2 linked regions of the Oryctolagus cuniculus genome follow. The protein of the gene in region 2 purifies or fractionates together with the protein of the main gene of each other region. This does not show direct contact. Links are inferred from orthologs where the notes say so. Each region holds a gene or a part of one and is shown on either strand. Other genes may lie near its edges.

What was found. The genes of interacting proteins can lie anywhere in the genome.
Region 1: the proteins of ARID1A (region 2) and BCL7A purify together in Homo sapiens (affinity purification with mass spectrometry; 5 studies listed by BioGRID and IntAct, counting the BioPlex papers as one, with this or other methods). This does not show direct contact. The link is inferred for Oryctolagus cuniculus from reciprocal best matches to the Homo sapiens genes ARID1A and BCL7A.

The regions. Positions count from the first base shown.
Region 1 is NC_091452.1:7,063,896-7,070,158, forward strand, and holds the start of BCL7A (B-cell CLL/lymphoma 7 protein family member A), read right to left. Parts: upstream 4,263-6,263; 5' UTR 3,828-4,262; coding exon 3,736-3,827; intron 1-3,735.
Region 2 is NC_091438.1:144,719,457-144,723,779, forward strand, and holds part of ARID1A (AT-rich interactive domain-containing protein 1A), read right to left. Parts: intron 2,509-4,323; coding exon 775-2,508; 3' UTR 1-774. UniProt on the Homo sapiens protein: Involved in transcriptional activation and repression of select genes by chromatin remodeling (alteration of DNA-nucleosome topology).

The DNA.
Region 1 (6,263 bases), on a different chromosome or scaffold from region 2:
TGGTAGCCACGGTAGCCAGCTTGGTTTTGGTCCCTCTCAGAACTGAGTGCCTGGGACAAAAGAATGAAATTGGGTCCCAGCTCCAGGCACACAGTCCCAGCACGGGCTCCTACATAAACTACAAGTACCCATCCCAGGTTCTCCAGGCCAAGTCCAACTTCCAGTGTTCTCCTGGCTTCAGGTCCAAAGGCCAAGCAAGGAGACTGTTTTGGAGTCATCTACCACCCAAGGGAACCCTGAGGAGCCCCTCAACGAGAACTCAGGAGAGCAGGCATTGTGGTGAAGCAGGTTAAGCCACTGCCTGAAATGTCTACGTCCCATACCAAGCGCCGGTTCAAGCCCTAGCCCTGTGCGTCTGACCCAGCTCCCAGCTAATGCATCCTGGGAGCCAGCAGGTCTTCTGCCTTGGCTCAAGTGCTTGGGTGTGGCCACCACGTGGAGACCTGGATGGAGCTCCTGGCTTCTGGCTTCTGCTAAAACAGGGCTCATCCTGGCTGTTCCGTGCATTTGGGGAGTGAACCAGCAGATGGAAGGTTACTTCTCTGCCACTCTGCCTCTCAAGTAGATGAGAATAAATAGACAATTTCAAAAAGAAAGGCCTGAGTTCCTCTGTCCAGGGGAGTCCCTGACTCCTCAGGAGGCCCGGCGCAGGCCCAGGTCCACGGTACCTGCACGGGCCTGGGAGGAAGGAGCCCCTGGAGAAGTGGAGGCAAAACCCCAGGCACAGTCCAACGTCCACCTCCCCCAGAGTCCCCTGGGAGCAGGCCTCTCCCGGGACCCCGGGACTACAGCCCAGCTCCCTTCACAGCTGAAGCCCTTATGTCCCAGCCGACAACTCCCGCACTTCCTTCTCTTCTCCAACCCTGCCCAGTGGTCCAGAGGGGGCCCAACATCCTGTCTGTCCCCCAGCCATCTTCCGGCCACCTGACTCTCCACCAGCTCAGGCCTAAAGCTCGACTCAGGGAGCACACAGCTGGCTGCCGGCTGTTTCCTGGGGCAGTGAACAGGGAGGGGCAGCAGAAGGGTAGCTTTAGGGTTCCCTGGGGCTGTGCAGAAACAACAGCCTAGGCTCACAGCCTGCCAGACCTCCCAGCTCGCCTCTTGGTGGGACACAGGACGTGCTTCTTTTAGTCTGAGTATGTCCCAAATACTGCATGGGACATACTTATGCTAAAAAAAAACACATCTATTTCTAAAAGTCATTTTGTTATTCATTTGAAATTCACATTTACCTGGGTGTCTTGTATTTTTGTCTGCTAAATTGGGCAACCTCAGGGACTGGGGAACCCAGCCCCAGGGGAAAAGCGTGCTGTTAATAAACAACCCAAAAGCCCCAGGGCTGACACGATGGCCCATTCAGAAGGCACAGTGGCCACTGATTGCCAGACTGGCCACTCAGGGGCGGGAGAACCACACAATAAAGACAAGGCTTTTTGCCTAAAAGGGGAAAAAAATGGGCAGACATTTGGTGCCGCCACTTAGGACGTTTGCAGTCCCAGGGTTGAGTTCTAGCTCTGCTTCCAATCCTGCTTCCTGCTGATGCACACCCTGGGAGGCAGCAGGTGATGGCTCAAGCACTTGGGTCCCTGCCGCCCATGTGCGAGACCTGGATTGAATCCCTGGCTCTTGGCTTCGGCATGGCCCATCCCTGGGTGCCGTGGGCATTTGGGGAGTGAATCAGAGGATGGAAAATCTGTCTCACTGCCTTTCAAATAAATAAAAATCAAAACAAAAAAAGGGGGGGAGGGAGCCAAGTTTCTCCAAAGTGCACCTCAGATAACGTTTACCAGGTACTCCAGTGCACAGGGCCAGGTGTGGCTGGACATGTGACCTCACTGGTTCCCAACAGCCAGAGGAAGCCGCGGGCCTTCTGGTCCGTGAGAGAAGCTGCATGGTGCACCCAAGGTCACAGCAAGGAAGCCTGAGGTCTCCAGGGACAGGCAAGGGGGCAGCCGCCCCCTCCCAACCCCAGGCCTGGCCCACAGTGGCCTGGGCAAGACAGAAGCTTGCAGGCCACTGCTCTGGCCCCCTCCCTCCTCCGTCTGCCCGCGCCGAAGAGCAGCTGGCAGCCTGGGCGCAGCTGTCAGGGTGCAGGAGTCTGCCCGGCTGGGAACCTGGGGCAGGAGGCCCCACCACGCCTCCCTGAGCAGAGAGGCAGCTGGCACGACCCCCTCCTAACCTCAGGCTGCGCACAGAAGGAGCGCCAGGCACAGGGGCTGAGACGGGGAGGGGGACACCTCCAGCCTCCCCCTGGGACTTCTAAGGAGAGGGGGGGCTGTGGTGGTTTCCCGGGGTTTGCCTTCTGGCCTGCAGCTGTTTCTGCCACCGTTTCAACGGCACCAGGTGCCCTGCGGGCCAGGGGAGCCCCTGTGGCACCCACGGCTTGGATCTCAACTTTGGAGAACCTCCCCTTCTCACGGTTCTGAAAATTCTTTGTCCCACTGCAGCCAAGCCCAGCCCACGGCCGGGCACTCGGCCATCCGCGCCGCAGCCCTTCCATAGGAGGCCCGGGAGCACGTGGACTTTATTGATTTCCCTCTTGCCTTTTTGTTGGATTTGACTCAGAAAGGACGGCTAACTTGTGACACCCTCAGAGCCGGGGCTGGCCCCAGTGCTGCTGCAGAGCCCCAGGCTGGCTCCAGAAATAACACCCCCCAAGTGGGAGCGCACCTCGGTGGGGCCTGCTCAGGCTCTGGACTTTTAAAAAAGGTGGAGGGGGGTTGCGGGTAAGGACTACTGGCCCCGGGGGCGCTGACACTGCTGCTCCTCTCCCTCCCGGACCCGGGTGAAGCCGTGGGAAAAAAAAAAAACGATAAAGTTGCAATCGGGGAGCTGGGAGTTTCCAACAAGTCCGACCCAACCTGGCGCCCGGGGCCTGGCCCCGGGGCCGCAAAGCGGACCCCCACGAGGCCGGCAGAACGCACGATCCTGCCCCGTGACAAGCGGGCCTGGCCGCGCCGGGCCGAATCCGAGCCTGGGGAGCACTCCCGGCCCACGGCGACCCTCGCCGCCCCCCGCGCGGAGAACAAAACAACGGCTCCCTCCGCAAAACAGACGCGAGCCGCGGGGCAGCGGCGGACGCGGCCCGGGATCCGGCCCCGGCCCCGGAGAGCGGGCGCCCGGCGCTCGCCCCCGTCCTGCCGCCCCGCCGCAGCCCTAGCTCCAGGCAGCCCAAAGCGCTAAATTTAAACGGCTCGCGCTCTGCAAACTCCGCAGACTCGAGGGCGCCGGGCCTGGGCGGGCGGCGGGGCGGGAGGCCCGGCGCGGGCCGGGGCGCGCGGGGAGGCGGCGGCGGCCCGCTCGGTGCCTGCACAATGGAGCTCGCGCTCTCCCCAACGCAGCCGCCGGCATCGCGGCCCCGGCGCGCGGGAAGCCGCTTTCATGTGACTTGCACAAAACGAAATGGCTTCTGGGGCCGGCCCCGAGCCCCCCTCCCGGCGGCCGGGCGCCGCGGCGGGGGGCTGCCCGCCGCTCTGGCCGCCCGGCCCGGGGCGCCCGCCGCCCTCAGGCTGCCGCCGCCAGGTGGGCGACAGGCGCGAGCGCACCTGGGCAGCGGCCGCGGCCCCCGCCGGGCGCAGGTGACCCGGCTCGCGCGCCGCCCGCCCTCGCCAACTCGCGGGCCCGCGGCCGGCCGGGCGGCCCGGGGCGCTGCGCCCGCGGCTCTCCGCGCCGGCTCCGGGCTCCCGGAGGCTGCGGCGCCGAGCCGCGAGCGGGCGAGACGGCGCCTCTGCTTACCATTTGCGCACTTTCTCGATAGCCGCCATGACCCTCTTGATATCATCTTTGGCCCGGCTCCTGGTCTCAGCTCGAACCGACCTGCCCGACATGGTTCTGGCGGGGACGGAGAGGCTGGGGAGCGCGCCCGCCGGGTCCTGCTGGCGCTCGGCGGCGGCCACACTCGCGCCCGCCCGCGGCCGCCGGCACACACGGCGCTCACACACCCGCGCGCCCGCGCACACACACGCGCGCACACAAAGCCGCCGCCGCCGCCGCCGCCGCCGCCGCCGCCGCGCCGGGCCCAGTGCGCACGCGCCGGGCGGCAGCTGCACCGAGCGGGGGAGCAGCGCGGCCTCCAGGCGCCGCCGCAGCCGCCTTCCACCCGGGGAGGCGCCGGGCCTCTCCCCGGGAGAAGGCCGGAGGCTCCCAGTGGTCCCGGGCTCCGGGCTCGCGGGGGCGCGCGGTCGCTCCGTGGGAGGCCGCAGGTGCGGGCGGGGACCCCCGGAGACGGCGCATTCCTGCGGAGCCCGCGGGGCGGCCCGGTCCGGGCCCGGGTGCGTGGCAGCGGGTGCAGTAATGCAAGTTTTCCTGTGGGGCTCCTGACTTCTTGGAGTTGCGGCAGCGGTTCCGTACGCGCGGTGATCCTGGAGAGAGTCGGGAAGCGCGGGTCTCTGTGCAGCCGCTGCCCTGTTTAACGCGCGGCCTCGGGCCGGCGCCTCCCCGTGCTGCGCCCTTTTGGAAAACGAGGCTTGTTTAAAAAAAAAAAAAAAAAAAAAAAAAGGTTCCTGGTAGCAGGGACTCTTCCTTTCCCTCGGGGAGAAGTGGCCCTGGCGTAACAGGGCGAGGGGCCACAAGTCGCCCTCCTGCAGGTAGGACCAGGCTCGGGCCCGCCGCAGCGGCCGCTCCAGTGACCCTAGCGGGTAAACATGGACTGGTCCCACCTACAAGGACTTGCGAGCGGAGTTCCCTCCCCATCCGGAAGAACGGAGCGCTGTGGACGACACGGATCAGGGTCACCCAGGTGTTCGGATGCGGCGATGCTCCCTGGACCAGATGTAAAGTCTGCCGGTCCGGGAGACCGAGTGGCCCCAGTGCTGGCTGGAGGTAAACCCGCCCAGCGTCACGCACTTCGCACGCGGGACACCGAGTCCTGGAGAAGTTCAAGGTTGCAGCCGTAGGTACTATAGTATGGGAAACTCGAGTTTCCTCCGTTTTAAAAAAATATTTGTTTGAAATGCAGAGTTCGCGAGAGCGAGGAAGAAGGAGAGAGGGATCTTCCCCCACTGGTTCACTCCCCAGATGGCCACAAGGAAGCCAGGAACCTGGAACTCCATCCGGGTCTCACCGCAGGTACCCGGGCTCCAAGTACTGGGATCGTCTTCCTCTGCTCTCCCAGGCACATTAGAAGGGCGCTGGATCGCTCAGGGAGGCAGCCAGGACTTGCACCAGCACTCGGAAGGGATGTGGGTGTAGCAAGTGGTGGCTCAACCCGCTGCCCCCCCAATCCACTCTGCTCCCAGTTTATTTGTGGGGGGCGAGCTACTTGGGAAATGGGGTGAGAGACTGCAGGCCGTTTCTTGGGCATTTCTTCTTAGCATCCTGAAATATAGCTGCTTATGACCTCAAGTCATCCTGAGAATTATATGGGAAAATACATGTATGTAAGGGCAGGTCCTAAGTCAGAGGCCCCCTGACAAATGTGGCCAACAGATACGTGCTTTGGGCCATGCAGAGCTTTGAAATATGTGTTTGAAACTAAAATAGAAAGATACCATGTCAGAAACCCAAGCATCAACTGATGAAATGGGTGTGTATTTCCACATGGTGGCAAACTATTCAGCCATAGAGGGAAAGAATCCACGCTGAAAGGAACGTGGCCCCATGCTCCATGGCGACATGTGAAGACATGCCAAGTGAAAGCGCCAGCCCCAAAGGATGAGTATTATCTGATTCCACTTACTGCTCACGAACACTGCAACAGCAAACGGGGGGGGGGGGGGAGATGCTGAAGGGAGGGGGCAATGGGGAGGGACAGCTACGGGCCTGGGGGTTCATTTTGTGGGTGGTAAAATGGTTCTGGAACAGAGTAGCAGTAAGAGTTGCATGACAGTGAAGGTACTCAATGCTGCTGAATCGCATACCTCGACATGGCTGCACTTAGCCTGGCAGGTGAGATGCCAGGTCACACGTTGGATGCCTGGGTTTGATTCTTGGCTCTGGCTCTAGCTCCCGACTCCAGCTTCCTGCCAGTGTATTCTAGGAGGCAGCAGTGACAGCTCAAGTTGGGTTCCTGACACTCAGGTGGGAGCTCTCCCTGAGCTTCCAGTTCCTGGCTTCAGCTTGGCCGCACCCTAGCCATTGCAGGCACTTGGGGAGTGAACCGCTGGGTGGGAGCTCCGTGTGTGTTTGTGTGCATCAAATAAAAAATAAAATGGCTATGAAGATCAGTTTTATGCTATGTGCATTTGACCACCTTAAAAAGGAACCCAAACACCAAACTTCTGTAGAGAACAGGTCTGCAGCCTGGGTGACTGATGTCACGTAGC
Region 2 (4,323 bases):
ATTCATACAATCGAGGAGGAGAGAAAGAGGTCAGGGTGTTGTAGGTTCACACATGATACTTTGGGGGAAAAGCCTTTTTTTTTTTTTCTCCTCAACGTTTAACTAAAAACATTTTTAAAAACTACAGCTTGCTGCTGACCCAGCGTTTCTCTCGTTTCCGTGTGAGACATTATTATTACAGTATGTTTACAGTATCAGGTGTACAGTACAGTACATGAAAGGGTCTACACTCTACTGCACAGGCCTCTCCAGTGAACAGTCTGTCCACAACTGCCAGCTTCTCGGCTCCTGCAAGATTGTGAATGTACAACAATAAACCACACAGTTCAGCAGTCACCTTTTTTGTCCTTCAGAGTTTTTTTTGTATTTTTTTCCTTTTTTTTTTAACCATTAAAAACAGTTATGAAATGTGGCATCCCGTTGATGCAAGGACCGGGAAAGCCAGTTTTATTTTATTTTTTTCCCCAAACTCACTGTAAACAACAGTAACTTTGGTTAAAATAAAAAAAGTCTTCTATGTAGGCAGAGCTTTGTCTTTTCAAATAGGGTGGGGTCCTGAGGGGTTTAAGGTGAGGGCAAGGAACAGAAAGGTGGGGGTGGGGGGCAGGGGAGGAGGAGGTAAGAGAACAGGAGAGACTTTTTTCCCCAGGGAGAAGCTGGACAGCACAGGGTAAACTGGATTCTGAGGTGGTTTTGCATAAATAAAGGGCAACAGTCAGTTTCTAAGTTTTCCACACACGCACACACACACAGGGGGGAGGTGTCCCACGGCTGTCATGACTGGCCAATCAGAAACAGTACATCACAAATGACCTGTGAAACCAGTGAGTTCATCAACGGTGACACCGAGATGTCCAACAGCCGTGACTCGTACAGCGTGAACTCCGAGTGGTTCTCATCAACCTTGGCCAGGGCGAGCAGCGCGCGGGCAGCCCGCCGCATCATGTCCACGCTCGTTGGCTCAAAGGGCGGGTTCTGCATGTGGAGGAGGCTGGCCTGGCTCTGCTGGAACTGGGTGGCAGCGAGGCTGTCCTCCAGGAAGCCCAGGAGGTTGCCGATGCTGCCCTTCTGCACGGCGATGGCGCGGGCTGCCAGGCTGTCCCCCTGCGCCAGGTTGGCCAGCAGTACCACGGCCATCTCCCGGCACACCGGGTTCTTTCGGTCACTGAGGAAGCGCACCATGGTGCTATACAATTTCTCCAGGCGGCTGAAGGGGGGTGTGGCCAGGATCAGGTCCACATTGTTGTCCTGGATGCTGAGTTTGCTGAGGGTTTCCAAGACCAGTCTCTGGGGGGAGAGGACGGCATTGGGGCCCAGGGTGGAGAAGGGGTCCTGGGCTTCAGCTGAAGGGCAAACTGCCCAGTGCAGGAGTCCGTCCAGGACAGGCAGGCAAATGCTCTCGGGGTATGGGGAGAGGTCCAACTGCCCCGAGATGTTGGCGAGTGTGACCAAGGTGTTTTCCCGGAGCATCTCCAAGCAGTCCCACCACCACTCCACTTTGTTACAGCTCACCCCTTGGTCCTGTTCCTCCTCCTTCTCGTAAGTTAGTGGTGCCTGCTTCCGTTCTGGGTGCTTGTGGTGCAGCAGGATCAGCTTGCCCAGGATGAGCAGCAGCCCTGGGTGTTTAGACATCTCAAAGTCGTTGCCTGGCACAAACGACAGGCTTCGGATAGTATTGGAGACACAGACGCAGCGCTTGGCAAGGGAATCCTGCCAGTCGAGAAGGGTGCACAGTGGGGTCTCATCCTTACTGTGGGGCTCGTCCTCTAGGATCTTGATGTTCCGGTGGCTCTGTGCTGGGCTAATGCCGAATGGAAACTTGCTGCTTTCCTTGGTGGCCTCTGCACTCTTGGCTCCCTCCTCGGTCAGCGTGCTGGACCGTGTGGACAGCATGTCATCCATAGTAGCTGTGATCCGTTTCTCGGGGGGGCCATCAGGTGGGGGCCCCTCCTGTTCTGCTGTCCCAGGCGTACCCTCTACTGTTGTGACATGTTTCCGGGGCGCCGCAGGGCAGGGGGCATGAGGCCGTGAAGGCAGCAGCTCCGTCTTGCTCTCAAAGTGGGTCTGAATGTGCTCGGTGGTGTCCCCCCCGCCGATCCGCCAGTGGAGCAGGCCGCTGTCAAACTCCTGCACGCGCCCAAGCTTGTCTGAGCAGTCCACCACAAACGGGTCGTTCTTCTGTGCGACCTTCACCGGAAGTCTGTCAAACTTGCTCATCAGCTTCTCCTCGTTATTCTCCGAGGCCGGCCTGTCCTTGCCTGAAAAGGCCAGCTCCTCATCATTTTCAGCAACTTCCTCCTCGTCTTCCTCCTCTAGTTTAGGACCTAGAAGTTCTTCGTCGTCCTCGTCCCCCTCCATGGGGGCTGGACTAGACACCTTGCTGAATCTCCCAGGGTCCAGTAGTGTTCTCTGTCCTGGGTCACCCACCTCATACTCCTTTAAAATGCCAAAGATCTCGATCAGGCATCGTCGGAAATATTCCACAAGGAGCTCTAGTAACCCTGGGAGCTAGAAGAGAAAGAACAGGAAGTAAATTAAGGGAGAACAATGTCCTACAAAGAGAATCCTTGACGTGAGACACCCCCTGACGCGGCTTCCCCTCCCCTTTCCTTTGAGGTCATGTGACTATCACGGGGAGGGCAGAGCTGCTCCCTTCCCGAGGCTTTCCACAGCGCAGGCTGTTTATCTTAGTCCCCCAGGCCTCCCGCCCACACCACCTGCACACTCGCCTGCCTCCAGTGGCAGGGAAACGCCAGCCAGCAGCACCGCACCTCACCCGCCAGAGCCTCCCGTCTCTGTCTCTGTTTCCCAACCACTCTTTTGCTTTTCTTCATCAGGCTGGTTTTCCTACTCAATGGACACCACAACTGTCTTTCCTGTGACACTCGCCACAGGCCACTACCAAGTTGAGCCCAAGCTACACAGCACAGAGGGATGATCTCCTTCAACAGGAGCTAAGAGAAGAGAGTGCAGTGTGGACAGACGTATGTACGCTCCTCTCCAAACTCCCCGACGTTCCAGGAGGTACACCTCCATGAACCTTGCAGTGGGATAAGGCTTCAGCTCTAAACGCTGGTCTGAGCCAATGCTAAGGAGACCCAAATTCCAGCTTGGATCTTTTATACAGGCCATACACCTCTAAAAGAAAACATTAATCTCCAGTCAAATTACTCTTTGGCTGCAGCAGAGTGGAAAAAAATACAGGCTTTTGGATCAGAAAGATCTAAGTTTGAAATCTGTTTTTTCCAGGAACTAGCTAGCTGTATGAAATGATCAATATTCCTAAAAGTTTACAAGGGTTGCTCTGAGGTCGAATGGAATATGTTAAACGCCTGGCACATGGAAATTGCTCCATCAGAATTGTTCCTTTACTTTCTCATGGGGAGCGATATCATACAATGAGAATCAAGTCAGGCTTTGGAATCGGAAGTATCCCACTGGGCAGGATGAGACTGAGTTCATTTACTATTTACTACATGGCCTGCTCTGAGGATGACACGAAACAAATTATTAATGGTCTGCCAAAAAGTGAGGGCACAGTAAGCAGTCACCACCAGTAACAATGCCCCATCAGCTCCCTGATCAACAAGATGGTAGGTACTAAAGACTATCAAAACAAAGAGTAGGATGGTGCAGCACAAACTCTTCCCAGCTACTGGGAAAACTCAAGGTGCACGTGCTGGTCTGCAGAATCAAATGTGCAAGCACCTTTCAGAAACGGACAAAAGCATGGGGTGTGGGAGGAAGTGGGCAGCAGCTGGGCACAGTGGTTATGCTCCATCTGGGATGCCCACACCCACAGCCCACAGTGAAGTGCCTGGTTTGAGTCCCAACTCTGCTTCCCATCCAGCTTCCTGCGACTGCACCCTGGGAGGCAGCAGGGATGGCTTAAGTACTTGGGTTCCTGCTACCCACAGGGGAGGCTCGGATGGAGGCTCCAGGTCTCCCAGCTTCAGCCTGGCCCAGCCCCGGCTATTGTGGAATCTGGGGAATGAATCAGCAGATAGATGACGTCTATCTGTCTTTGTCCCTCTGCTTTTCAAGTAAAATGAAAGCAAAGATGATCATTTAAAACAAGCAGCTCCTAAAAAACAAACAAACAAACAAAGGGCCGGCGCTGCGGCTCACTAGGCTAATCCTCTGCCCGAGGTGCCGGTTCTGTCCCGGTTGCTCCTCTTCCAGTCCAGCTCTCTGCTGTGGCCCGGGAGTGCAGTGGAGGATGGCCCAAGTCCTTGGGCCCTGCACCCCATGGGAGACCAGGGGGAGGCACCTGACTCCTGGCTTCGGATAGGCGCAGCGCGCCAGCCGCAATGCACTGGCTGT